7 linked regions of the Canis lupus familiaris genome follow. The protein of the gene in region 3 interacts with the protein of the main gene of each other region in a biochemical or structural test. Links are inferred from orthologs where the notes say so. Each region holds a gene or a part of one and is shown on either strand. Other genes may lie near its edges.

Region 1 (3,384 bases), on a different chromosome or scaffold from region 3:
GCATTTAAATCTCAGTGCCAAATGCACTAAGAGTTCCCTGCCGCTATAATTTTTGGATCAGTCTCTTCAGGAATCAGGCCATGGAGAAAGCAGGATGGTGTCTCCCGATCTCTCTTATAAACCACAGTGGTAAGACAAGATTTCTTTTTGTTCTGGGCTATCACTCCCATGATCGTGTGCTTCCTTTTCCCTCAGGAACCACCCAAGGAAGAGTTAAGGGAAAAGGTCAAAGAACCTCTGCCTTGCCACTAGTACATGCTCTGGAGTTCTGCGGAATGGAAACCCGAACAGATTCATTGGCTGATGTTCCTTAATAACATGAGAAAGAAACTACTGGGGATGTTCAAAAGAGGAAGTGCATTTCCTTTCAGAATATGACCTCAGAAACCCATACACCAAAGCTCAGAGCTACTTTGGAAGACAGCTGTACAAATGTCCAAATACTCTACTAACTCCTGAACTGGACTACTCTGAGTCACTTCCACTTCTGAGCACATCATTTTCCTATTGAAAGCCCCTAGCTTTTACTTGACCATTTTTGACAATTTATACAAACTGATCCCAGATTATATAACCTTTAAAGGGTCTTTTGTACAATTCCATAGAAAGACGTCTGACTCTTGATGCTTAGAGCAGCTAATGAGGAGAGGTGCCTTGGACTCTCCAGCGCCAAGAGGGTGCCTGCGTCAGTAGTATTTTGAACACTCTCTCCACAGCTAACTCAAGCATCAGCCTGGGCTTCAAGGCTCTCTCCACTCTGCTGCTAGGACCAAGGACCTTAAAAGATTGACAGAAGTGCCTCATCCAGGGATCATTATCAAAACCAAAACATGAAGTGATCAGGTGAGAGAAAGGGAGACAGAAAGGTTGAGTCAAGAAAAGAGTACAAGAAGCTGATCCCAAATAAAAAGACAAAATTAAGAAAAAACATTATGTATGTATATATAAACTAAAAGCAGAGCATATGAACGCTTAATCTGGTGGGAAGCCAAGACAACATCTATAGAAAAGCTTGATGTGTCACAACAAGGCTCAGCCATAGGGAAATAAGGCAATATAAAAAAATGACCAAGGTATTTTTGGTCACAGAATGGTCTCCTTCCTCCTCCCAGCCAACCCCTGCAAATGCATCTCTATATATCTTTTATATATATATATATATATATATATATAATATAGAATCTGGTTTTTTTTTTGTTAAAAAGTATTTCAATGATCATATATATTTATCAAGGCATGATGGCTTTAGGAAAGGGGGGATCCATCATGGGGGAGCTGAGAAGGGAAATGCAAGAAGGGAAAGCTGGGGAAAGAAGTGTAAGAAACTGTGTGGGGTCAAACAAATGCTCATAAAGGGTGGCACCAACAGAATTTTCAATAACGTTTCTCACTTCAGGAGGTACTGATGATAATAGATGGATGCCAGGACCCCATCTCTTGTATCCCTCCCCCAATTCTTCCCACCACCATGCATTTTAATGCCTCATGGCTCTCTCTCCCACATGTCTCTTGGACCCATGCTACCTTGTATCCCAGGGTTGATGGGTATGGCCCATATGTCTCTGGCCCCGGGTGCCTGATCTCAGAAGCCATTGCCACTGATATTAATGGACTGCAGATCTGCCACCTGCATGACGTTGATGCCACTGTTGGCAAGACGGGCAATACCCTCTGGACAGATGGCCTCCATGGCTACCATATTGGTGGTAATAAGGGCTGAAGGGGTAGCAGTGCCGCTGCCTTCTGAACCTGCCCCACTGTCCAGGGGCAAAGTGCCCACACTCAGGGATACACCTGGGCCTCCCTTCTTATTCTGGTGGGTCTTGATATGCTTTGACAGGTGGTCACTCCTCATGAAGCGCTTGGGACACTCAGGGCAGGCAAATTTCTTCTCACCTTGGTAAAAGAGAAAGAAGACAAGAAATGAACATCTTACGAAGTAGGGTTACCTTGTCCAATTTACTGCTTTCAAACTATATGGGACAGAATATTAGTCTTAGAAGGTAATAAAAACAAGAAAAATCTGGTATCTTTTTCTTTTTGAGAGAGTGGGGGCAGAAAAATAGGTAAAGGTCAAAGAGTACTAGAAAGGAAGGACTACAGTAGAAAAGTAAGGTAGGACCGAGAAGAATAATGGGGCCATGGTCCTCCTTTAAAATCCCACTGAACACCTAGCTCCTTCCTTCTGAAAGGTTTTCCAGATAAACTCCAATTCGAATCATTTATGTTCCATATATTCACTTTCAAACTTAATTACTCAGAAATTTAATTATTTCATAGATATATTTTGTGTCTTTTTATGCTATTACTATTTCTTTCCTCCCGGGGCTCCTTCTCACCTGTATGTGTGCGTTTGTGTCTTTGTAGTTCATCCGAACGTGTAAAGCGTTTCCCACAGTATGACCAGGTACACATGAATGGCCTCTCGCCTGTATGCCAACGCAAGTGTGCCCGTAGGTGTGAGGTCTTGCCATATACTTTGCCACACCCTTGGATGTGGCAAATGTGCTGTTTCTTTTTGCCGGGATCCCCAGAGCCTCTGAAAATAAGAACACAACTATTCATAATGCATTCTAGAGACAAGAATTAAAGAACCCCAAAATGTTAACATTTATTACCTGACCCACTCAAAACTAACCCAAATTTCTATTTAAAAACAAACACTTCTCTTGGGGCACCTGGTGGGCTCAGTCAATAGAGCAAGCAACTCTTAATCCTGCTGTCATGAGTTCAAGCCCCATGTTGGGGGTGGAGGGAGAGAGGGAAGGAGGGAGGGCAGGCTTCTCTTTAGTACCAAAATATCAATCTTTAGGGGTGCCTGGGTGGCTCAGTCAGTTAAGCATCTGATTCTTGATATAGGCTCAGGTCATGATCTTGGGGTCATGTGACTGAGTCCCATGCTGGGCTCTACGCTCAGCATGGAATATGCTTGAAATTCTCTCTCTCCCTCAACCTTTCCCCTACCCCTGCTCGTACCCTCTAAATAAATAAATAAAACAAAGACATAGATCTTTAGTTGATGCTGATTCTTAATACCCCAAATTCAAGTTTTAAATTTTTTCTCTACTGGATATTTACTATTTCCTGTTTTTCTATTCCTTAATCAATTCTGATGTTTGATGTATGAAGAGATAATTGCTCTCCGGATGACTTGTGAAGTCTGTGAGGCTTCTTGTATTTTTCACAAAGTTTGTCTTAATACAAGCATTTCCTTCCTCCCTCCCTCCCTTCTTTTCCTTTTCTTCTTTCTTCCTTTCTTTTTTCTCTTAAGATTTTATTTATTCATTCATGAGAGACACAAAGAGGGGCAGAGACTCAGGCAGAGGGAGAAGCAGGGAGCCAGATGTAGGACTTGATCCCAGGACCCTAGGATCATGACCTGAG
Region 2 (3,540 bases), on a different chromosome or scaffold from region 3:
TTTTTCTCTCGCTCTTGTTCATTTTTGCTCTCCTTTTCTAATTTTTTATTTTCAAGTTCAACATTACCATCTTTTGCTGCTTTAAAAAAGGGAAGAAAACAAAGACTTAGCAAAATGTGTAATACAACTATAACAAATGCAAAGTTATAGTTGGGACAGAGTATTAGACTTTGTGAATTTTTATCTAACATCATTATCCCCAGCTATTTCATTTTAAATGTTTTCTAACAGATATAATTATCATCACAAGAGAAAAACCAATAAAAACACTCAAAAGTGATGTAAGCATTAGTTTGACAAATGAAACCAAACCGTGTGTGTTTGGTATAAACCTTTTTTATTGCATAAAAGTTTTTTGTTTGTTCATTTGTTTTACAAATGAGCACATCCTACTTTATGAAATTAGAGTATAAAGTAATCAAGTAAAGAATGTGGACCTGAAATAAATTTTTAAATGAATGGGTGAAAAATGAATCCTGAAGTTAAAAACAAACAATTCCAGCTGTGCAGATACTTCTGTGACCGTAAAAATCAAAACAAGCTTAAAGCAGATGATGTATGCCAATCCAATTAACTTAATTATGCATGAAAAAAAGCTGAGAAATAGCTAGCCTTCACTTTTACATCATCCAAACACAAATGTAACAAAACAAATTCAGTACAAGGCAGGACCATCTCAAACCCCCTACAGAAAGGGCATCCTGGTCATTACTTACTCCAGACTCATCATCACATTTGACTAGACTGTTTCTCAGATTCCCTTCTATATCATATTATAACAATCTATAGTTCCATTGTTTTTATATTCCTAACCAAAAATAGTTTCATAGTTTGAAATCAACTATAATTAATGTTATTCAGTTATATATAATGCTCAGCGGTAAGTAAATTTATCTAAATAGATACATAAATTAATATTACAGAATACATAAACAAATGATTTTACCTGATTTTGGAGTTGTAATGCCAGCTTGTTTTCTAACATAATCAACCACCTGACCCAATCTGTTTGAACTACAATACTGGACCTCATCATCACATAGGTAACACCTGTTTCCCAAAAGACCACAGAGAAGAAAAGTGACAAACTGACAACCAAAAGAGGAGATGAATTATAATTCCTGGAACCCAAAGTGAATAGCCACCAAATTATTCTGTTAAAGAAACTGAAAATAAAAATCTGTGTTTTCTTGAAGAAGACAGACTATCCATGTTAACTCTGGTTTACTATTATAGTAAATTTAGTCAGAACTGTGGTTACATATAAATAAATACATATAAAAACCCCAAATACTTTACTGAAATGGCTATTTACAATCTGAAAGTCGAAGTCTTTCCTACACATATTTCAAAGTACAGGCCTATATCGTCAAAATTAAGACGTTTTACAATAGACAGATGATGTTCACTGAATGCTGCTCTGTAGATATTTTTTAAAGATATGAAAATGTGTTTTGATGATGTTATAAGAAATATATGTACCAGCCTGACATTTATTCTCATGCAAATTCACTGCAAAAATCTTACTATATTCTCAGTTCATCTGAAATTGGTTCTCAGTGTCCCAATTTTTAAATAACCCACCACATGCCATTTAAAATAACCCACCACATGCCATTTATAATGCACCGCATGCCATTTATATCAAAAGCAAGAAAAACAGAAGGGTGAAGACTCATCTGTCTTCTAGATGCTACACTTTCTATGTGCATACAATAATACTAAGTTGAAAGGTTCTCAAATTCTCTAGCCTTCTGAAAGTGATGTATTTAAACAAATCCTACAAAAATGTAAACCTTCTTCCTCCTTAAACCCCTCCATTCTCCAATATTTCAAATACTTACCAGTCAACTGACAGGCATAAGAGTTATTAAACTTACCATACACTCCAGTTGTCCAAACTGAGAACCAGACAATGAGGTTCAGATCTTGGTGTCATATAGTGCTTCAAGGCATGCTGCTCCTGAGAATCTCTGCCACAGCCCTAGAGAATAATAATCATAAACCTCGAAGCTATGAAAGTTCACCAAGAGAATTCATAATCCATAATGCACAAGCAAGGGACCTGAGAAATTCTGTCATTCTTACAATTTTGAAAATAACATGGTGGACTCTAAAGAGGGTCCCGATTTTATGAAAACCTAAACATGAATAGGCAACTGAGAATATCTAGCAAAGAAGGTATTCAGGAACCATGCACTCAAAGTACTCTTCCTCTCCAACTTGTCCTTTCCAGTCCCAACTAAATCATGCTAATGTAGCCATTCACTAGGTCTAGCACAAACCACTTAACAGCTTCTGAAGTATTTTTCTGACTTCAACTTCTTTCTTCACATACATATCTTTTTGAGTTTAATGGTATCTAAAACAAATTTCCACTCACACACTCAACTTAAAAATTATGAATTGCTTTTAAACTTCTAAGTAACAAACCTGATACCATCTGACCTCACCCTATCTTTCCAGGGTTAATTCTCATATTGTCCTATTATCAAATCCCACCCAGTCTTCAGGATCTAGCTCAAAGGCCACTACCTCTCACAAGCCTTTGGTCATCCCCCCCGAGATGAAGAAACACTGTATTCTTACTGTAAGCTAACTCCTACAAAATATGGGATAAATTCCTAGTGGCATTCCTATTTTCTACTTCATATTAAAGTTGTTACTGTTTATAGCCTTCCTCCCCTGGACTATAAATCCTGAAGACACAAAAACAAAATTAATCTTTCTATTACCAAAAAATTTACCAAGTGGAAGGAGGTCAGTAAGCATTAATGGAACAAATAAATGGGAGATTTTCACTTATTAGATGTTTAGGCTTATTCATAAAAGAACAGGACCAGATTCTCTGCCTTTTGCTGGTTAAATCTCTGCTGTAAAATATACCCTCACTATGTATCTATCTGAATCAGGCCATCAACTCCCTTGGATTGCACTACGGAAGCGGTCCTGTTTCTGTGATAGCTAAAACTATATGTCAAAGGGGAAATGTTTATCAACAGCTTCTAACCTTTACCTGTGATATCAACACTACTGATCTGATTTATCCCATTCAACATTTCACTCTAAAATAAATATTAATTTTGAAAAAAAAAATTTAACATCATTTGAGATCATTTGAAACATAAGAATGAGATGACCTGTCTTAAGATAGCAGTTGAGAATCACTTGCTTAGCAGTGCCAAGGGAACAATAGTGAAACTGTCTTACCCTTAGGAACTAGATAGATAGCAAAATAAAATTTGTAATAGGAAGTGTATTCTGGAAAATCTAAAGTAACAAAACGTATTCATTCTCACCATATATAGTTAAGAACGACAGTGAAAATCTAAATATGTTCTTTGGAATGCCTGGGTGGGGATCAAGTCCCACATCGGGCTCCTTGGAGGGACCCTGCTTCTCCTTCTGCCTGTGTCTTTGCCCCCCTCCTCTCTCTCTTTCTCATAAATAAATAAAATCTTAAAAAAAAATAAATCTTTGCTATTATTCAATTTTTTTAAGCCAACTGAGCCACCCAGGGGCCCCAACACTCAAATACGT
Region 3 (4,030 bases):
GCACTCATTAAAATCAGTACCCTGAACTGACAGAGAACAGTCATCTTCCCTAGAGTACTTCTCTGGGGTAGTCAATTTTCATTTAAAATGTGAACTTGGGTGTTGAAAAGTAAGTTTTACAAGTTCTTAGGTTCAGGCAGAGATTTCACAACCACCTACCTCCAATGTGAACCCCAAGTGCTCTGTCACCTAGGAGCACAAAATTGTTAAGACCATGTGTTGGTACCACAAATGGTGCCAGATGACAGATGCTTCTCACTGTGTAAAAAAGGTACTAAACACTTACATGCATGTGATATACTAGCTCATTGTTTATCCTAATCTGGGTCTTTTTTTTTTTTTTTTTTGGTATATGGAACAGTTCAAGAATTTGTGCGTCATCTTTGCGCAGGGACCAACTTAATCTGTTTTGTTCCAATTTTAGCACATTGCTGTCCAAGCCAGCACCTAATCTGGCTCTTCTGACAGGTCTTTGTAGCGTTCATGGTAATCCATCCTTGTTCTACATTCCATTAAGAGCAGCCCTTATTAGGTGACTCTTATTGCCAGTTCTATTTTATTTTTTAAAGACTGAAAGAATGATGTTCAAGTGCAAACATCTCTCTTAAGGTTATTGTGGAGGGCAGTGAGAGAGAGAGAGAGAGAGAGAGAGTTTTTGATACTTAGTTATTTAAAGTATAATTTAGGTCTCCCCCCCCCCCAAAGACTTGTGAATTTTTGTGTTCTAAAAAACTAAAATTCTGTTGTGAAAATATTTAAAAATCTAAAAATGTAAAATTTTGTCTTTCATTTTTAAATACATGGAATTTTAAGTAAATGGAAACTTTAAAATTCTGAAAATAAAGTAAAAACAAAGCATATATGCGTGTGTGAAATGGATTCCTTTGGCCCAGCCGGAAAATCACCCACTTAGAAAAACACCATTTACGGTAGCTTTAAGTATTAGAAGTGAAAGTGATGGAATCTGAATGTCAAGGTAGCATCGCTTTTGTGATGAGAGAGCTGAGTGCAGTACGTTTTAATTGTGCCAATACTGAACAGGGAAGAACCCGACCCAGGGCCAACAGTAGATTTCCGACGACCAGAAGCAGTAGGACGACGCTCCCCAGCGATGAAAGAAAGCGCCTGCGCTGGGACTCAGTTGGCGCCCGCCCTCCTGCTTTTTCGCCAGCCGCCGTTTCCACCCTCTTTCGCGCTTCGGCCTCCCGGGAAGCCCAGCCCCGAGCGTCGCTGAGCTCCGATTGGCTCCTTTGAAAGTCTACGGGCTGCCTGATTGGCGGGCCCCCGGCCCTTTAGCGCGGTGAGTTTGAAACAGCTCGCGCTCCGCTTCAAAGCTGGCTCTGGGAAGTTGAGGCGAGAGCGACGCGGACGTGGAGGCGGCCGCTGCTTTCGCCGCGGGACAGTAAGGCGGGCGGCCTCGCTGAGGTCAGGGTCGTTCCTGCGGGGCGTCTGCGCCGCGGGGCCCGGCTCGGAGGCCGCGGCTGGTGGTGGGAGGCCGCGGGGGGCCGCGCGGGGCCGGGCCGGGCCGGGCCGGGCCTCCGGATCCTAGGCCGCGCCCTCGCTGGGGCCCCGGGGCCCGGCCCTCCGGGGAGGCTGGCGGGAGCCCCGACGCGGCGGGCGCGCTCCCGGGCGGGTGAGGCCGCCGGCCGGCTGAGGAGGCCGTCGGGGCGTGGCGCCGGCCGGACGACGCCGATTGCCGGGCTCCGGCCTGGGCCCCGCGCGCGCCGCCCTGCTCCCTGGCGTGGCCGGCCAGACCCCACCTGGGCCAGGTGCCCGCGTGGGAGCGCCGGCGGGCCCCGCTGGCCTGTGGGCCTCCCCGGGGTTCCCTGCGCCCGCGGCCCTGGCGCGCCCGGAGCTGTGGAGAGACCCGGCCAAGGACAGAACCAGAGGAGGAGGAAGCTCGGGGTGGCCCCTTGACTCTAAGCTGTTGTATGTGCTGTGCCATCGGCCCACAGGGAAGGCTCAGAAACGCCTCGAGAAAGCACATACGCGTGTGCTCAGTATTCCTGATCGGTCTTTGTTTAACACTAGAGCTCCCCATGTGCACGCCTGCTTGCTTGCTTCAAAGACCTGGAGGCCTCTGGGTAGGAGACGAAGCTGTGGTGTCGCGGTGCCGGGCCCCAGGGGCAGGGCCTCCAGAGGCTTTGTGAAGCCGCGTCCTCTCTGTGAGATTGTCACAGCAGCGACACGGAGAGCCGGCGAGGCCTAGGAAACCCAGCTTTGAAAGGCTTGCTCAGAGCGAGCTCGACAGTTGGATTGTTCGTCAGGCGTGTTAAATCTGGGCGTCGTAGAAGGGATGATTACCGTTCTGTAAAATTAAAAATGTCTAAGATGGGAACTCCTAGCCAGTGTAGTGCAACTTCGTTCATTTAAAAAGATTTTCTTGCTTCTACTTCTGGCATGATCCCGGAGACCAGTGCGAGCGTCGACTACCCAGTGACCTATGTACGTAATCTTATCAGGGATGAGTGTGTTAGAAAGTCAAGGTAATTCTACTCTGGGCTTCTGAAGTGAAGATTTCTTTGGCAAACTTCTCAGCTGAGGACGTCTTGAAGGTCTTGTCAGCCTCTCAACTGACGTTTAAGCAGTCTTGCTGATGGTGGTTGATTATTACGGCCACAGTAGCTCTATTTGTGTCATTAAAACTTTTTTCCTTTTGAATTTTCTTAGAAAAGGGGTACAAATTCAGTCAAATAACATTATTTGACTTACTTAACACAAATAACATTTGTGGAAATGGCTGGGTATAACTGGCAGAAATTGATGCTCCTTAGAAGTGTTACATAAAGAAACACACTTGTTTTTTTGTTTGGGAGGGATAGATAAGTTTGATACCTGAATTTGAGGGTTAATCTGATTGCAAGAAGCAAAGTACTACACTGGCTAAGATATACAAATCCAATGTTTTAAGAGCTAAAAAAGGTGGAAAAATCTTATTGCAAAGGTCCCTTCCCTTGTAAATGTTTTAACATAATTAGTATTTATGGGAAATTAATACTGCAGTAGACACTGGAAAATGCTTTATACTATCATTAAAAACTTAAAACCATCTTTTGAGTTAGTGGCATATGATCAAATTAATTTTTTCTCTCATTTTAGGATCCTACCGTATCTGTTGATTAACTATGGAAGATTATACCAAAATAGAGAAAATTGGAGAAGGTGAGTGGTTTTAATAATAAAAGAGTTAAAAAATGATTTGGTAATGCTCTAATATCTGGGACATGAAAACCTGTAAATATTTATTGAAATCCAATCTTTAAGGTGTCCTTCAGTGCTAATGTGCCTTGATTATATGTTCTTTACATGGTAACATATGCACAAAATGTTCAGATTTCAAGAAAATTGAAATTATTCTGATAGGATTCCCTGCCAACCCTCTCCCATCCCCCTAAAAATCTTATATTTTTTAAGTACTAAACACTTAAAGCAATATTTGTATTTTGAAAACACTATTGAGATCTTGTGTTATGTTTTGGTGGGGAGAGGTTAGGGAAGTAGAATTTTTTTTTTTTTTTTTTAAGATTTTTATTTATTTACTTGAGAGAGCACAAGCAGGGGGAGCTTCAGAGGGAGAGGGAAAAACTGGCTCCTTGCTGAATGAACAGGGAGTCCATGCGGGTCTGTATCCCAGAACTCTGGGATCAGGACCTGAGCTGAAGGCAGACGCTTAATCGACTGAGCCACCCAGATACGCCTAGGGCAGTAGAATTCTATTAAGTTTAATAGTGTACTTTTAATCATGTACAATTCTTTTTAAGTGCTTTTACCCAAACTTTCTAAACTAGTATAATAGACTATTAAACCAATTTATTTATTTATTTATTTATTTTTTAATTTTTATTTATTTATGATAGTCACACAGAGAGAGAGAGAGAGAGAGAGAGGCAGAGACATAGGCAGAGGGAGAAGCAGGCTCTATGCACCAGGAGCCCGATGTGGGATTCGATCCCTGGTCTCCAGGATCGCGCCCTGGGCCAAAGGCAGGCGCTAAACCGCTGCGCCACCCAGGGATCCCTATTAAACCAAT
Region 4 (4,194 bases), on a different chromosome or scaffold from region 3:
TTTAATTCTCTGAAAACTACTGGAGAACTAGAAGATTTATTAATTCCAAACACCCATCTTCCAACTGGCCCATTAAGATTTGTTCAAGTAACAGAATCCAAGGGGTGGTTAACCTTTTCATTTTAACAACTATCTGCAGAGTGCTTTTAGTTAGTGGCCCACCTATCCACTGGAGGTTAGTGGTCCATTTGCTGTACAGATAATTGGTTTTTGGTTTTTTTTTTTTTTTTTTTTTTTTTTAAAGATTTTATTTATTTATTCATGATAGTCACAGAGAGAGAGAGAGAGGCAGAGACACAGGCAGAGGGAGAAGCAGGCTCCATGCACCGGGAGCCCGACGTGGGACTCGATCCCGGGTCTCCAGGATCGCGCCCTGGGCCAAAGGCAGGCGCCAAACCGCTGCGCCACCCAGGGATCCCTGGTTTTTGGTTTTAATTGGACCCGAGATCTACAAATCTCATGTCATTTAATTCTGTAAAAAGTAATTTGGCTAATTTTTTTTAAGTTTGTATTTTAATTTATTCATAAGAGACACAGAGAGGGAGAGAGAGAGTGAGAGAGAGGAGAAACAAGAGATTGGCAGAGGGAGAAGCAGGCTTCCTGCAAGGAGTCTGTTGTATCCCTTGATCCCAGGACCCAGGTACCACAGGTGCTCCTAATTTAGCTAACTTAATTAGTAAACATATCTAAGTTTTTCAATTAAGTCACAAACCAAAACAAACTGCAGATTATGTGCTTTTTTTTTTTTTTTTTTTTAATAGAAATAACAGCAGCTACTAGGCAGCCCTGGTGGCTCAGCGGTTTAGCGCTGCCTTCAGCCCAGGGTGTGATCCTGGGGACCCCGAACGAATCCCGCGTGGGGTTCCCTACGTGGAGCCTGCTTCTCCTTCTGCCTGTGTCTCTGCCTCTCTGTGTCTTTCATGAATAAACAAAATTTTAAAAATAAATAAATTACAGCAGTTACTGACATTAATTTTAAAACCCTGGCTGTTGGGCCACCTGAGTGGCTCAGTGGTTGAGCATCTGCCTTTGGCTCAGGTCGTGATCCTGGAGATCCGGGATCGAGTCCCGCATGGAGCTCCCTGCATGGAGCCTGCTTCTCCCTCGGCCTGTCTCTGTCCCTCTCTCTGCGTCTCTCATGAATAAATTAATAAAACCTTTAAAAACAAAACAAAAAACCCTGGCTGTTTTTACAATGGTACCATGATTTGTACTCATTTTCCATTCTCTGGAAGGCAAGCCACCTGAAAAAGAACGATGAGAATTCGAAATTAGGGAAGCAGCAGCAGCTTCTACAGCCACAGAATGATCAGCCTGACCAGTAACTACCAACCAGTAATGAATCATCTCAGTGCCTCACCCACCGCTTTCAGAAAGTAGGGCTAACGTCTTCACCACTCTCCACACAAAAGCCCTATACCCTTGGTATTATTATTTTAGAAAAGTGACATCTCTGTCCTTTTGGAGTTTGCACACTAATAACAACAAAAAAAGTGACAAATAAGCAAACCTTCCAGTAAAGGGCAGTAAGTGCTACGGAGGGAAAAACGGAGCAGAGACCGGTGAAGAGACAGCGGACATTCGGCGTGGCGAGTGACTCCTCAGTGGAGTTTCTGGACTCCCAAGGGAACCCGGCTCCCTGTCCAAGTCGGGGACGTTGGCGCGGCAGCCCACCCCGCGGAGGACACGCGGATCAACGACCTGACGGCGTTATTTAAAGAGAGGCGAGGGAGCGGCCCACCAAGAGCGGCTGCGCCGGTGCCGAGCCGAGAGGCAGCATCTGAGAGGGAGGCAGGCGGGCGGGCGGGCGGGGCTCGCGGACACTTGGAGCGTCGGGGCCTCCCGGGCGTCGGGGTGTGGGGGGCCCCCGCCGGGCCCGGGGCACTGCAGGCCTTGCCCTGCCGCGTCGGGGCCCCTCGCACCTGCGCCAGCTCAGCGCCACCCAGCCCCGCCGGCCGCGCCCCGGCTGCACTCGACGCCCGTTCACGTACGCCCCCGCGCCCCGGGGCCGCCTCGGGGCCCCCCGCTCCCGGGCCAGGCGTCGCTCCCTCGACCCTCCTGCAACCCGCACCTCCTCCTCATGGCGGACGCTCCCAGCAGCCGACCGTCGAGGCCCCAGACCTCCTCCACGCGGAGCTGAGCGCAGCAACCTCGCACACGCACCACAGTCCCGCTCCAAGCCGGGGCTCCGAGCCGTTAGCCCTCCGCGGAATTTCAAATCGAGCCCGAAGGCGGGAGCAGCCCAGCGATTGGCGCCAAGACCCGTCGCTCCTCGCCAAGCCCCGCCCCCTGGCGGCCGCCGGCGCGCGCTGCGTCCTGACGCGCGGGGACTCTGAGCTGCGGTTCCCGCGGTGGGCGTGGGAAGCGATGGCTCTCCCGCTGACGGCGGAGGTCGCTGTCTGCGCATGCGCCGGGTGGAGCCGGCCCGGAGGGACGCCCCGCCCCGCCCCGCCCCGCCCCGCCGGGGATCCTGCCCAATGCCCACCCCACCCCGTCCGGCGCAGTTAGGTTTCGAAGTTCGCGCAGCCCCCTGAGGCCGCCGGGAAGGGGTGGGGACAGCGGCCGCCCTGCGGCAGGAGCTGGCGTTGCGGGAAAGCCTGGCGCTTAGGTCGCTTCCCACGCCCAGTTAGGTGGCCAGCCTGGAGCTGGTATTTGGGAGCTCTCCCCAGGTGCGGGAAGCCGTGCGCTCGAGGGCAGGGGAAGGAACGCCGCACCCTGCTCCCCTCTCCCGGGCCGGGCACCTTTCTAGACCTCCATCCCGTTTACTCTCCACAGCAGCCGCGTTCTGTAGTATCGCCATTCTTACGTAGGAAGAGATCCGTCTCTGGAAGTCTTGAGGGACTTGCCCAGGTCACATGATTGGTACACAAAAGAAGATATGCTTGCCATAGTTCTTTCGGTGAAAACTTTAAAATTCAAAATGGACATCAAAACGATAGAGGTTTATTAAGCAGATAATAGCACTTCAGAGAAAACTCTCAAAAGTGAGAGAGAGGGGTCCCAACAGGGTATCCTTTTTTCCCTGAACATATGCTCCATCCCTAAATGTTTATATAAAACTTTGTATTCAGTGATTCACAATTGCATGATATTGATGTAGGAACAAGTTAGGAGCAGACAGGGCTAGGTAGGAAAAGATAAGGGAAAGGTCTAGAGTCAGGCTTCCAGGAATCTGTGGGTTCCCATAAACCCCAAGGACACCAAAAGGCCCCAGAGGCTCCTACCCATCCGAAGGAAACAGGTAAGACCGTAAAAAAACCAAAAAATCCTGGCTCCCTAGTTCCAAAATGTTAGGGGGTGTTCCCCTTTAATGGCTACTAGGCTCACAGAAACCCCAGATGTAGAGAAATATGGAGGAGCTCTTAACCAGAGAGAAGGGAACACTTGTTTGTGCTTATGATGTTTACAAAGAAACATCTTGTTGTTACAAGTCCACCATGTTTGTTCTAAATAAAGACATGATATATACAAGTCCACCCTGATATGGATAAGAAATTTACCAAGTTCCTGGTCAGTTCCCTATAAAAGACAGACCATAGGGACACCCGCGTGGCTTAGTGGTTGCACCTCTGCCTTTGGCTCAAGGTGTGATCCCGGAGTCCCAGGATCGAGTTCCGCATGGGGCTCCCCGCATGGAGCCTGCTTCTGCTCCCTCTTCTTATGTCTCTGCCTTTCTCTGTGTGTCTCTTGTGAATAAATAAAATCTTAAAAAAACAAAAACAAAACAAAACATAAAAGCCCTTAGTGGCAACCCTGTCAGGACCCCTCTCACTTTTGAGAGTTTTCTATCTTGCTTAATAAACCTCTATGGCTTTGCTCCCTCTGTTGTCCTGGAGATTCGTTCAACTCCATAAGAACCAAGCTCTCCCGTATCATTTTGGTGCCAAAACCTGGGACCTCCCATCAAAGGGTGAGTAAATGTGGACTCTATCCTTTATTTTCTGGAAGATGTCTCTCCTTCGGGTAACCTTTTGTAACAAACAGCAGAACCGGGCACCTGTCAGGCAGTTAAAGGCGAATAGTGCGGCTGTTGGTCTTAAGACTCAGGTGACAGGCTTTTGGAGAAAAATTTAGTCAATCCCCCTTCCCTAAAGAAAGAGAATGTTGGCCTAACCCTAACCAATTCCACTTTCCGTTTTTTGACCTCTGAATTGGCTTTTCCCCTGACTCAGGGGTTTTGCTTCTGATAGGGCT
Region 5 (3,831 bases), on a different chromosome or scaffold from region 3:
TAATCTTACACCCCACATGGGGCTCAAACCTACAATCTCGAGATCAAGAGTTGCATGCTTGGGATGCCTAGGTGGCTCAACAGTTTAGCATCTGCCTTCAGCTCCGCATAATCTCCAGATCTGGGAATCAAGTCCTGCATCGGGCTCCCTACAAGGGGCCTGCTTCTTCCTCTGCCTGTGTCTCTGCATCTATCTCTGTGTCTCTCATGAATAAATAAAATATATATTTTTAAAAAGAAAAAGTGTTGCATGATCTGACTGAGCCAGCCAGGTGCCCCTTCAAAAGTCTTAATGGAGGGGGGCACCTTGGTGGCTTAGTGGTTGAGCATCTGCCTTTGGCTCAGGTTATGATCCCGGAGTCCGCTGGAGTCCGGGGGATCAAATCCCGCATCAGGCTCCCCACAGGGAGCCTCTTCTCCTCTGCCTATGTCTCTGCCTGTCTCTCAGAATAAATAAAAATCTTTTTATTTTTTTTAAATGTTTTATTTATTATTTAATTTTTATTTATTTGTGATAGTCACACAGAGAGAGAGAGAGGCAGAGACACAGGCAGAGGGAAAAGCAGGCTCCATGCACCGGGAACCCGACGTGGGATTCGATCCCAGGTCCCCAGGATCGCGCCCTGGGCCAAAGGCAGGCGCCAAACTGCTGCGCCACCCAGGGATCCCAATAAAAATCTTTTTAAAAAAGAATCTTAGTGGATATTTTCAAATGGTCTGGTAGCTTCCATGCCTAAAGTTCTACATTTGTTTTTGCAGAACGAGCAAGCATTTGAGGAAGTTTTCCAGAATGCCAACTTCCGATCTTTCACATTCAGGATCAGGGTGAAACTAGAGACCTACAACGTAAGTGGGGTCTGCTGGGTTGCAGAAGGGTTAGCAGTGGGAAGCTACTATTTGTCACTCACAGCAACAGTACAGTGTTAGCTGTCACTTAATTGCTTACAGTGTGCTTACCGCCCTGCATTTATTACTCATTGAATCTTCCCAGCACTGAGGAAACGAACCTAGAGAGGTCAAGTATTTTGTTTAGTGTCAAGCATCTAGAGGGAAATGCTGCATGGTTCTTCGGTTACAACCTGGGGGTTTTGTTGGTGTAGTGACAAAGAATGGTCAGATGTTTGGTGGACTCCTGTGAGGTTTAGGCCCTAGGGTTCATATACAAAACAAAGACCGAACAAAGTTAAAATAACCTTAAAACTTATTCAAGTTGCCTATAGCATCATATAATTGTATAGTCCTACAGTAACTGCATTTATTGAGCACTTACTGTCTGCCAGTTACTATTCTATGCCCTTTACATCTACTATCTCACTTGATCCTGGCAGTAACCCATATGGAGGAATGACTGTTAGCCCCATTTTACCACTGAAAACATGGAGGCATGTAGAGAATAAGTACTTTGCATATGCCAGCAAATGGCAGAACTAAGATTCCAGCCCCCAGCTTCAGAGATTTGCTCTTTTCCATTCTTAGAAATGGCACTTTGTCGTAATTACTGAGCACATATACATGACAGTGCGTGAACCCCTGAATTAGACTGTGCACTTTTTCTGGGCATCACCTCATCCTGCCTCTAAAATAAAGGCACTGTTCAGTCCTGATGAATGAGCAAAGAGGGAGAGTTCTGAAAACCTCTCTGCTTGTTTTAGGGTCTCCTCATTCTGTTTTATCATTACACTTTAACCTTAGTTCCTGCCAGGTTTGTTTGTTTCTGTAGACCTTGAATGAGGTAGTGTCAAGTCAAGTGTCTGTGCTAGAGTGTCATGTTGAGGTGGGAGCAGGGGACAGCTCGAAAGGTCATGCAGTCCTCTCATGATGTGGACAGGGAAGGTGAGGTGCAGAGGTGGTCTCCCACAGAGCTGGGATGGCACCCAGACCAAGTCTTCCTCCTCTACTTTTGTTTTCAGAATTAGCTGTGTGGCTTTTAGGCAAGTCACTTATCTTCTCTGGGCTCCTATTTCCCCCCTCTGCAAAGAAAATAAACCTGCTAAGGCCCATCCCATTTGGATTTGAGGTTTCTGAGACCTGGGAGCATGAGGGAAGGACAAAAAGGGGACTCTGCTGAATGAAGAGAGGCTTCTGTCCTCTCTCCCAGCTCCAGAAGTTCTGAACTTGGCTTTCACTCATGATTTTTTTCTGTATTGGAATTACTAAACACTAAATCCAGCATGTCTTTGTGTTTTCTCTCGCTGAGATCATTGAAACCTCTAAAGCAAAGGGGGTTAGCACCACTGCTCCATGCCACAGGCTTTCCTCCATTCACAAACTGCTTTTCTCTTCTCAAAGGATGAGTCTCGAATTAAGGCCACTGTGATGGACGTGAAGCCCGTGGACTACAGAGAATATGGTAGAAGGCTGATCATGAACATCAGGAGAAACGCACTAATGTGAGAAGACCAGAGCTGATGGGGCAGAAGTTTGAAAAAACAGAGCTGAAATGAAACCGATTCTTTCCCACTCCTGTGGGACATTTCCACGTTAGCTACACAGTGGAGCAGAGGGCCTCTCCACAGGGGACAAAGCGCTTTCCTCCCATCAGTGCAGCTTGGAGCCCACTGGTACCTGTTGACACAGGCAAAGAGAAATGTGCTCAGGCGACTGTCGGGTAAACTGTCAGACCTGGCAGGTCAGCTGGTGGATAGTGTAGTGCCATTCTCTCCCTCTGTCTTCAGGCTTTTGTCAGTTTTACTAAGATTTCATTATCTTCAATCAGAAATTATGTCACAAGTAATTGACCCTAACTTTGCAGACGGTGAAATAAATTATGTAACTAGCTTCTCCAGTGATGACACCCTTGAGACCTGGGTTCCTTCTCAGGAGGGAGAGCCCAAAATTGGTCGTGCAGAACCTGTACTTCAGTAAGTGTGTCTTTCTAGAATTCAAAGTTTCGCTCTTTCTAGAGGTGCCACATAGTTGTAAATACTTGGATGGCAATAGGGTAGAATTATTAATCAAAAAACTTATCTTTTATATCTGAAGAATATCCCTCCTTCAGGGTTTAATAGACTAAGTCAGATGGGTCTGATATTAATCAAAATTGTCTCGTCTGAGGAAGGCTGATAAGCATTGACTTGCTGTCCCACAGGGACATCCGGGCAACTACAAAGCATTGTTTTAGTTTTCGTTTCAATTAATGTTGCATTTTGGCTGGTGAATGCACATTTTTTTCTACCTGTACATATTTCTTGCATTTATATGTTTCATTTCTTGATTGAAGCTATGTTAAATAGAAGGGATTTTGAAGGAAGGAGCCCTTTGTTTCCTCTGCTTTGTTTAAATAAACAGAATGTTCTCTGTGTGTGAATCCTACTTTCTACTTTCTTTGAATGCAAAGGGTTCTTGTAACTGGGAAGCAATTAATTAGCCTTCATAATAAATGTTCACTTGGGGGAGATGTTAACTCATTACAGACTCAAAGATTAGTCCAAGTCATAGAGATCATTCATCCTAATGTTTGCAACCCTCAAATGCATCTTTAAAAGAACAAAAACACTAAAAACAAAAAGCCATTGTGACCAAGAATGCTGATGATCTGGCACTTTGGGATTTTATTGATGTTTACACAGCAGTCTAACACCAACCAGGCTTTGAAATGTGTACAGACAGTGAGCTAGTAAGAAAACAGTAATTATGCTACTAGGCTTTTAAGTCAGCAAGAGCATGCTTGCCCTGTGTGTTCCTAATCATATTAATTATCTTTCTGGTTGCTGCGACCCACCACTTGGCATTTGCTGCACATCTCTCCCCAAGCATCCAGGCAATGTTGCAGTCAGCCTGCAGTGGGAGGACCTGGTTTTTAATCCATGCAAGTATGGCATATGGTGGCCGT
Region 6 (4,091 bases), on a different chromosome or scaffold from region 3:
TCATCGTTTGTAGGGACATAAAGAATCCAAGGCAAATCCGTGTATCATTTCTAATTGACCTTAGAATACATTAGACGCTAGAAGAACTTCATTTGTCAGTTTCTAAGAAGCAGATCAACTTTCTTAATCACTATTTAGGCCAATACAGAAATTCACACTCCTTGAGCATGCCAGCTCAAGGGATGGCAGATAATCTAGAAAAACGTCACTAGGACTTGGAGAAATCTGCTTAAAATTTTTAAATAGCCAAAGCTGGCATAAAAGTCTCAGAACTGGGGATCCCTGGGTGGCTCAGCGGTTTAGCGCCTGCCTTTGGCCCAGGGCTCGGTCCTGGAGTCCCCAGATCCAGTCTGTCGTCAGGCTCCCAGCATGGAGCCTGCTTCTCCCTCCTCCTGTGTCTCTGCCTCTCTGTCTCTGTCTCTCTCTCTTTATGTCTATCATAAATGTCTCAGAACTTTTATTTTGCCCTAAATCAACAAGTGTTTTTTTTTAATCACTGCTACTTAAAAGTGACTTGTATATACTCACAATTCAACCAGAAAAAAAAAAAAAATCTAAGCCAAAGCCCCAAAAAGGCTTTTTAAAAAATTTTTGTGGCACGTATAAGGACAGTAATTATCAATTACAGAATACACAAGGGAAAAACTAGAATTTATCCTAAAAGATCCAAATTTCTGCCAAGATCTGCATAACTCATCTCCTAACAGTGGGCAAGAACTATCAGGACTTTTTAATAGATAATTATCAGCAACTAAATCTAAACATCATTTAAGCATCTCAACCCTGAGGCAGCACCTGGGACGTCCGTTCAACGGTGTCCAACAGTCTCTGCAAAATATTCGTAATAAAGACTTTCACACTGCGTTTCTTTTGTCTCCATTTTTATGCAACCAGAAGACAGTAGGTGCACATTAGCTCTTTATCAGAACGCAAATAAAGAAGAGTGCCTGTGGGTCTCTAAATTCCTTTTCTTTGAATATGTTCGGTTTCCACAAAAATCAGAAAGGAAGATGCAATTTTCCTAAGTTTCCAAGAGTTTAAACATCCCGTATCCTGATCGGTCTACAAAAACACATACAGGAATCTTTACACATAGGACTAGAATCCCATCTAGCCCCAACTTAGACCCTACGAAAAGAACATCAAGATACATCTCAACCATTTTCGTCTTCCTGCATATAAGATCATCAATAAAGTGGTCAGGCTCTGAACACCTGTCCACTTTATTCCTAAATATGAAAAAGAGTTGCTAATGCTCACGGAAAGAAGAGTGATGAAAAACCACCTCCAAAGCCCCAGAGAAGTACAGATCATAATTCAACCGTACGAGCACTGGACTTTTTTTTTTTTTTAAGATTTTTTTTTTCTTCTTCTTCCCCAAAGGTTGCTTTAGGTAATTTTCAAACGCCAAAGAATGCAACCGCTGAGCTCCGGAACCAAGAAAGCAAACCGTGTGGAATACTTTTCAATTCCAGAGCCGGGTTGTTATTTCCACACGGATCTTTTAAGTTTTACGGGTCCTGTGCTGCAAACAAAGGAAGTTTAGCTTGACTGCGGGCAGCACACGTTGGGTTTCTTAGGCGACACACGCTGTCTGCGTCCAGGCTTTCCTGCCTCCCCAAACCTATTGTTCGGGGGAAGTTAAGACCCGTCCGTGGGAAGGAGCTCGTCAGCCTCCAGACGCGCGTCGGTCCCGCGCCCGCCCGCCCCTCCGCCCGCCCGCAGGGTGCTCGCCGCCGTCCCGCCGCGGGGCCTGGGGCCGGCCGCCTGCGGGGCAGCGGGTTTCCTCGGCACCTGCCGCCCCCTCCGACGCACCCCACCGGTTGGCCAGGGCGGCCCGCGGCTGCTTTTCTCTCTTGGGGACGGCGATTCTTTGCAAAGTGGGAACTCCCCGAGACGCGCCGAGTTCACCCAAGTTTTCCGAAAAGAGCACGCTCCTCGGCTCGTCCCGTTTCCCGAAAGGGACCCCGCGGCACGGACTCCGTGGGGACGAGGAGACGGGGGAGGGGAGGGAGGGCGAGAGGGGACCCCGCAGGCCCAGGAAGCCGAGACGGGGCGGACGGCCCGGCCCTGCCCGGCCCTGCCCGGCCCTGCCCTGCCCGCAAACTTAGGAGAAGGGCGGCCCGGCACCGCCTCGTCCGCGCGGCCGCCCCAGCCCCGGCTCCGCTCGCCGGGCCCGCGCGCGGGGAGGGGGCGCGGGGCGCGGGGCGCGGGGAGGGGGCGCGGGGCGCGGGAGGGGGCGCGGGGCGAGAGGCGAGGGGCCGAGCGCCCGCCGCCGGGCTCCCCGCGCCGCCCCCGCCCGCTGTCAGGCCCGCGGGGCTGCCCCGAGACGCCGGCCGCCCTTTGTCTGCGTGCGCGCCCGGCGGCGCGGTCCCACCAACTTGTGTGCGCCCCGCGCCCCGTCCCGCCCGGGCGCCCCGCCGCGGCGCTCCACACAAAGGAGCCCGCGCGCCCGGACGGCGGACGGCGGGCGCCCCCAGCCCAGCCAGCCCGGCGCCCGCGGACGACCCCTCCGCACGCCCCCCCCGCCCCCGCCCCCCGCCTCGGGCGCCCGCGGCCCCCGCCCGGCCCCCGCCCCGCCCCCGCTCCCGCCCCCGCCCCGCGGCATCCCCGCGCCCCCCGCCCGCCGCGCCGGCGCCCGCGACACCCCGCTCGGGGCGACACCCGCACGGGCAGCGCGGCGTTGGGGATGTCCCGGCGCCGCCGCCGCCCCCCGCCGGGCTCCAGGGCCCCGCCGCCGGCCGGCCCGACAGCGGCGCGTTACCTGCGCCCCGCGCCCAGCCCGCGCCGCTCCCGCTCCCGCTCCCGCTCCCGCCGCTCCCGCCGCCGCCGCCGCCGCCGCCGGGGCCCCACCGCCTTCTGCGTCCCAGCGGGTGTCGGGCGCTCCCGGACCGAGCGCCAAACCCGGCAGCCCAATCGCCAGCGCTTTTATTTGGCCCCCCCTGTCCAACTAAGCGCCGCCCCGATTGGCGGGCCGCGGCGGGCTCCCGTCCAATCACAGGGCCCGCCGGGCTCGGAGGCGCCGCGCCAGCCCCACGCAGAGGCGCCCGCGGGACTCGGCCGGGCCGGGCGGGCGGCGCGTGCGCGCGGGCGCGGGCGCGGGCGCGGGCGGGCGCTGAGGGACGCGGCCGCCGAGTGGAAGCGCCGCGCCGTTTCTTTGTTCTTTGGCGGAACGCACGGCGCCTCGCGGGAAGGCGGGAAGGCGGGAAGGCGGGCGGGCGGGCGGGCGGGGACGCGGGGGCCTGCGCAGCGCCGGGCCCGGGCGGGGAGGGCGGGGTGGCGGGAACCGGCCGGAGGGCGGGACGGCGCGCTCGCGGCGCTTGGCGGGAACCGCCGCCTCGGAGTTCCCGGGCCCGAGAGGCGGGGCGGGGCCGAAAGCCAAGTTTGAACCAGTTCAAAACTCGGGGGTGGTAACGGTTGCAACTGCCGCGCTCTTTTCCCCGCGCGCCGGGCCGGGCCGGGCGGGGAGCGCGGGGCCGGGGCCGGGGCCGGGGTGGGGCCGGGGGCGGGGGCGGGGGCGGCGCACCGGGTTAGAGACCCGGGCTGCAGGGGCGCCCCGCACCTGGGCCCGGGGCAGACGCCGAGCCCGGACCCTGGCAGCGCGCGTGTCGGCGTGCAGGGAAGATGAAAGAGAATCCTTGCTCAAGGACCGCTGTGGTTCCCTCGCCTCCTGCTAATGCTTCTGGAAAACGAAAACCCTTTTCGATGATCATTAGGTGATCTTGGAGGAAAACCTTGTCGCACCGGGAGGAATCGGGGACGTGTCGGGTTTTAGGGCACAGTCTCCTCCCCCTTTGGCTCTCGTCTGTCGAGGAAGTCAAGATTGGGCCGAATTTATTTAGCAGGACGCAGTTATATAGTTAGTTATAGGATGCAACTGTGCAGTGGTAGGATGCGAACATCACTCATGCGAACTGGGGTTCCATGCTGAGAGTCAGACCCCGGGTCACCTACGAACTGTTGAGTCTAAAACCCTAAGGACACCGTGTTTCTTTTATATATGTATATTTAGTATTATAATATTGTAATATATTATCATATATTAATATAATATTATGTTAATAGTAAATTTAATATATTAACATAATATT
Region 7 (4,163 bases), on a different chromosome or scaffold from region 3:
AAGGGGTCCCCGGAACTCTGGGGTCCCCTCTGCTGGCCTCTGGCCCCTAAAGTCCCTCGGAGCCGCCTCAAGATTCCCTTCAGAGGGTGACGCCCCTTGTCCCGCATCTATACCTGCCCAGCAGCCTGGCAAAGATGTATACATTTTAACAAAGACATCCCATCCTCCCAGCAAAATGGCGGTGGTCCCGGCCACGGCTCTCTGAGCAACTGCACACTTTCAGAGGATTAGTCAGGACCCCAGGAGCGAGACCCCCCCCCCCAGCGCCGTTTCCCCAAGTTCCCAAAGCACCAGGGCCTCTTTTCATCCCAAGGGCCCCCAGGACAAGTCTGGTTGGAGCCTTTGGGACAGCTCCTGCATTGCAGCCCGCCCCCCCCCACTGCCTTCAAGGGACCTTGGGAGGGGGACTTGCCCCCCAGGCCGTGCCTCGGGGGTGGGGGCAGCAAGGTTCTGCCTCGGAGACCCCGAAACTCCTAGGCTGAAAGAGGCATATAAATGCATTCCCGATTAGGATATGCGGGCGATGTGGGGCTCTTTGAGAGGAGAGGACTCCGGAGACCCGCCCTCACTCCCTGGGGGGTCCCAGGCAGTGCCGGGGGTTCGGCCCCGGGAGAGAACCCCCACGCAGGGGTCGGGGGGCAGGCTGGGGGAGAGCCTGCCGAGGAGGGGGAAGGGACGAAGTTTGAAAGTGCCCTTCCAACTCTTCCAGGGAAAGTTTGCTCAGGGGCCCCAAGGACAGAGAAGAGGCAGGGGTGCGAGGGGCCCGGTGGTGGGGTGAGCCCCCCGAGAGGTGACCGGACCCCGGGGGAGCGACCCCTCCCCCCTGTCCCGGCTCGGCCCGGCTGGGAGTCGCCCAGCTCGGGGCAGCGTGTGTTAGTTGGGGCCGCTTTCCAGCCGCTCCGCCGGGCTGGGGGGTCCCGCCGCGGGCCGGAAGCGGGGTCCCCGGTAGCCCCAGGGGGGAGCTTTGCTACGAGGGGTTTCCCGCACCGGGGCTCCCCGGCCCCGCAGAGCCAGCCCCCCGCAAAGGGGAAATGTGCAGGCGCACCAGCGGTCCTCGGCGCCGTTTGGGGCGCGTGGCGGGCGCGGGGGGCGGCGGCCGGGCCGGCGGGATGCCCGGCGGGGGAGCCCAGGGAGCCAGGCAGCGGTCCCGCGCGGCGGCGGGGAGCGGGAGGGCCCGGGCCGGGGGGAAAGGTCGGATTTGCTGGGCGGAAGAAACACAGATGGCGGCGGCGCGGCGCCATTCCGGGCCGGGAGCAGGCAGCCAGCAGCCCTGTCCTCACCGCGGTCCGCCCGCCGCCGCTAAATACCCGGATGCGCCGCCCGAGCGCCAGACGCGGAGCTGGGAATAGGGAGGCAGAGGAGGCGGAGGCGGAGGCAGAGGCAGAGGCAGAGCCCGATCCCGAGCCCGATCCCGAGCCCGAGTCCGAGCCCGAGCCGGAGCCCGAGCCCGAGCCCGAGCCCGAGCCCGAGCCCGAGCCGGGCGCCGAGACCGACCGACAGAGCGGCGGGGCTGGGCCGCACAGACCCGGCCCGGCGAGTCCTCCCGCGAGTCCTCCCGCGCCCCGAGGCAGGTCCCCGAGAGCCGGGCCCGGACCGGCCCGGGAGTCAGGAGGAGCGCCAGAGCAGATCCCGAGTAAGGCTTTCCTCGGCCTCCGACGAGGGCTGGCCCTTTGGAAGGCGCCTCCTTCGACAGCAGGACCAGACAGGCCACCATGACCGAGAACTCTACGTCCACGCCTGCGGCCAAGCCCAAGCGGGCCAAGGCCTCCAAGAAGTCCACAGACCACCCCAAGTATTCAGACATGATCGTGGCTGCCATCCAGGCAGAGAAGAACCGTGCTGGCTCCTCGCGCCAGTCCATCCAGAAGTACATCAAGAGCCACTACAAGGTGGGTGAGAACGCCGACTCGCAGATCAAGTTGTCCATCAAGCGCCTGGTCACCACTGGGGTCCTCAAGCAGACCAAAGGGGTGGGTGCCTCGGGGTCCTTCCGGCTGGCCAAAAGCGACGAGCCCAAGAGGTCAGTGGCCTTCAAGAAGACGAAGAAAGAAGTCAAGAAGGTGGCCACGCCAAAGAAGGCAGCCAAGCCCAAGAAGGCTGCCTCCAAAGCCCCAAGCAAGAAGCCCAAAGCCACCCCAGTCAAGAAGGCCAAGAAGAAGCCAGCTGCCACGCCCAAGAAAACCAAAAAACCCAAAACTGTCAAGGCCAAGCCGGTCAAGGCATCCAAGCCTAAGAAGGCCAAACCAGTGAAGCCCAAAGCCAAGTCCAGTGCCAAGAGGACCGGCAAGAAGAAGTGACAATGAGGCTTTTCTTGTGGACACTCCTGCCTGTCTCCTATTTTCTGTAAATACTTTTTCTCATTTCTTCTCTCTTGATCTTCATTTGCCCCTTTGTATTCTGACTTCCTAAGAGACAGAATCTGGATTCCTCAGAAATTAGGGAATAATTCATTTCTCCTTAACCAATCATGCAAGGACAGCAGCCACAACTCTCATCCCTAAGGATGAGAATGTACTTCTATTTTGTTTTGTTGACTTGTTATTAATCTACTTAATGGGTTTAGGGACTTGGGTGGGCTTGTGTTTTGTTTGGTTGATTTGTTCACTATGAAGGTAAAGGGGCGGGAGAGAATGGGCAAGGCCGCTTGTTGGGACGAGATGAGGGGGACCCCGGAAATGGTAAGGTTTGCAGGAGTACTTTAAGGTCAGCCAGCCTAATCTAGGTGGCACACCCCTGAGAGTTCCAGAACCTTGGTGGGGAGAGGGGAGGAGTGGTAGCAGCTGGATGGCAAAGGAGGGAAGTGGGGGGGGAAAAAAAAAAAAAACCCTGGGGGGGGGGGCGGCTGACTTCCACCTTCCAATAGTGAGCAGTGGGGGGTCCAAATCCAGTTTCCTTCTCACTGTGAGTGTGCCCCTGTGGCCTCCCTATTGTCCTGGGGAAGAGAAGGAGGGGATCGAAGTGACAGCTGGTCCCAGAAGCTGTGGCTTCTCTCAGTAAGCTGGAAACTAGCCATTGGGGGGTCTTTGTGGCTTCAGAAAGTCTCCTGTTAAACTGGAGTGGAAATTTTGGGGGAAGGGTGGGGACTCAGCCAAGTGCCTCAGTGTGCCCTGTTAAAACTTGGGTTTTTCCACACAATTGGATTGTATCCTAGGAGGACTTTTTCCTTTTCCCCTGGTTTTTTGGTTCCTCCTGTAGAAGAAAGAGGTGATTTTGCTTGGTGGCCTGGTGGGGCACCAGACCTGCCACCTGCCACTTAAAAACCTCCCAACCTCTTTACTTTTGCGTCTTTTATAAAAGTAGTTGTAGATGAGGGAGGGGGGAGTGGGCGGGAAGTGGACGGTAAGACATACTACAGTTGATTTTGAATTGCTAAGTAGTTTCACAGAGCTAGGTCTGTGTGTCTGTGTGTATATGTATATATACCTATCTAGGGCTAGTACTTTCGTCTCACACCCGGGAGCTGGGAGAAAAAAACCTGTACAGTCGTCTTTTATTTTTAATAATATAGGAAAATGCGCACTTGCGCGTGGTCCGCCCCCCACCCCCCTTTTTTTTAAACAAGTGTTATTTGTGCCGGGAAGAATTTGCTGTCTTTGTAATTTTAAAACTTTAAAATAAAATAGAAAAAAAAAGCGAAACCCTGAGCGGTGCCTTTTTTCCTCACTTTTATGGCCGGAGGCGAATGCGGAGCAATCGGGCCGGCGAGCTAGGGTGGAATCCGGGCGGCGTGTGCACCTGAGAGTGGAGCCGGCTCCAAGAGTGGGACGGGCACCAGGAAACGGCGCTGAAGGGTGCAGAGCGTGCCTCAGCCTGCTTCTAGGGTCTCGCCTTGGGGTCCCGGCTGCACCTCCTTAGCCCGCGAGCGCCGGGTGCGTAGGCTGGGGCTGGGAAGAGGGCGGGGGGCTGGTGGGCGGGGCCGCCTCCCCTTCCCCCACGGGGAGTCGCCGCGCGCCCATCAATCCCCTTTCGGACTCCGCCCCCGCGCCCCGATTGGCTGCCGCGGCCCGGCCTCCGGGCCCTGACCGAGCGGCGGCGGCGGCAAGGCCGCGGGCAGTGCGGGCGCGCTCGGGCGGAGCGGGCACCATGTGGGCCGGACGCGTGCTCCGCGCTGCTCCCTCCGCGGCCCCCCGCGGCCGCCGCGCGCTGTCGGCGCTCACCCAGCT

The links.
Region 1: of the proteins of CDK1 (region 3) and SP1, one has a biochemical effect on the other in vitro, tested with the Homo sapiens proteins (2 studies listed by BioGRID). The link is inferred for Canis lupus familiaris from reciprocal best matches to the Homo sapiens genes CDK1 and SP1.
Region 2: of the proteins of CDK1 (region 3) and USP16, one has a biochemical effect on the other in vitro, tested with the Homo sapiens proteins (3 studies listed by BioGRID). The link is inferred for Canis lupus familiaris from reciprocal best matches to the Homo sapiens genes CDK1 and USP16.
Region 4: of the proteins of CDK1 (region 3) and PRC1, one has a biochemical effect on the other in vitro, tested with the Homo sapiens proteins (2 studies listed by BioGRID). The link is inferred for Canis lupus familiaris from reciprocal best matches to the Homo sapiens genes CDK1 and PRC1.
Region 5: of the proteins of CDK1 (region 3) and RPA1, one has a biochemical effect on the other in vitro, tested with the Homo sapiens proteins (2 studies listed by BioGRID). The link is inferred for Canis lupus familiaris from reciprocal best matches to the Homo sapiens genes CDK1 and RPA1.
Region 6: of the proteins of CDK1 (region 3) and EZH2, one has a biochemical effect on the other in vitro, tested with the Homo sapiens proteins (5 studies listed by BioGRID). The link is inferred for Canis lupus familiaris from reciprocal best matches to the Homo sapiens genes CDK1 and EZH2.
Region 7: of the proteins of CDK1 (region 3) and H1-0, one has a biochemical effect on the other in vitro, tested with the Homo sapiens proteins (3 studies listed by BioGRID). The link is inferred for Canis lupus familiaris from reciprocal best matches to the Homo sapiens genes CDK1 and H1-0.

The regions. Positions count from the first base shown.
Region 1 is NC_049248.1:44,843,662-44,847,045, reverse strand, and holds part of SP1 (transcription factor Sp1), read right to left. Parts: intron 2,540-3,384; coding exon 2,340-2,539; intron 1,897-2,339; coding exon 1,583-1,896; 3' UTR 1-1,582. UniProt on the Homo sapiens protein: Transcription factor that can activate or repress transcription in response to physiological and pathological stimuli.
Region 2 is NC_049252.1:24,578,239-24,581,778, reverse strand, and holds part of USP16 (ubiquitin carboxyl-terminal hydrolase 16), read right to left. Parts: intron 1,985-3,540; coding exon 1,881-1,984; intron 1,051-1,880; coding exon 947-1,050; intron 80-946; coding exon 1-79. UniProt on the Homo sapiens protein: Specifically deubiquitinates 'Lys-120' of histone H2A (H2AK119Ub), a specific tag for epigenetic transcriptional repression, thereby acting as a coactivator.
Region 3 is NC_049225.1:13,554,681-13,558,710, forward strand, and holds the start of CDK1 (cyclin-dependent kinase 1), read left to right. Parts: upstream 1-1,215; 5' UTR 1,216-1,300; exon of another isoform or gene 1,301-1,425; intron 1,426-1,802; exon of another isoform or gene 1,803-2,445; intron 2,446-3,099; 5' UTR 3,100-3,125; coding exon 3,126-3,162; intron 3,163-4,030. UniProt on the Homo sapiens protein: Plays a key role in the control of the eukaryotic cell cycle by modulating the centrosome cycle as well as mitotic onset; promotes G2-M transition via association with multiple interphase cyclins.
Region 4 is NC_049224.1:53,738,550-53,742,743, reverse strand, and holds the start of PRC1 (protein regulator of cytokinesis 1), read right to left. Parts: upstream 2,813-4,194; 5' UTR 2,801-2,812; coding exon 2,742-2,800; exon of another isoform or gene 2,474-2,741; intron 2,210-2,473; exon of another isoform or gene 2,083-2,209; coding exon of another isoform or gene 2,072-2,082; intron 1,241-2,071; exon of another isoform or gene 1,226-1,240; coding exon of another isoform or gene 1,203-1,225; intron 1-1,202. UniProt on the Homo sapiens protein: Key regulator of cytokinesis that cross-links antiparrallel microtubules at an average distance of 35 nM. Essential for controlling the spatiotemporal formation of the midzone and successful cytokinesis.
Region 5 is NC_049230.1:45,977,593-45,981,423, forward strand, and holds the end of RPA1 (replication protein A 70 kDa DNA-binding subunit), read left to right. Parts: intron 1-758; coding exon 759-845; intron 846-2,288; coding exon 2,289-2,393; 3' UTR 2,394-3,306; downstream 3,307-3,831. UniProt on the Homo sapiens protein: As part of the heterotrimeric replication protein A complex (RPA/RP-A), binds and stabilizes single-stranded DNA intermediates that form during DNA replication or upon DNA stress.
Region 6 is NC_049237.1:1,579,892-1,583,982, reverse strand, and holds the start of EZH2 (histone-lysine N-methyltransferase EZH2), read right to left. Parts: upstream 2,820-4,091; 5' UTR 2,765-2,819; intron 1-2,764. UniProt on the Homo sapiens protein: Polycomb group (PcG) protein. Catalytic subunit of the PRC2/EED-EZH2 complex, which methylates 'Lys-9' (H3K9me) and 'Lys-27' (H3K27me) of histone H3, leading to transcriptional repression of the affected target gene.
Region 7 is NC_049231.1:27,827,422-27,831,584, reverse strand, and holds H1-0 (histone H1.0), read left to right. Parts: upstream 1-1,428; 5' UTR 1,429-1,712; coding exon 1,713-2,297; 3' UTR 2,298-3,638; downstream 3,639-4,163. Other genes in the region: GCAT (2-amino-3-ketobutyrate coenzyme A ligase, mitochondrial), read left to right, coding at 4,084-4,163. UniProt on the Homo sapiens protein: Histones H1 are necessary for the condensation of nucleosome chains into higher-order structures. The histones H1.0 are found in cells that are in terminal stages of differentiation or that have low rates of cell division.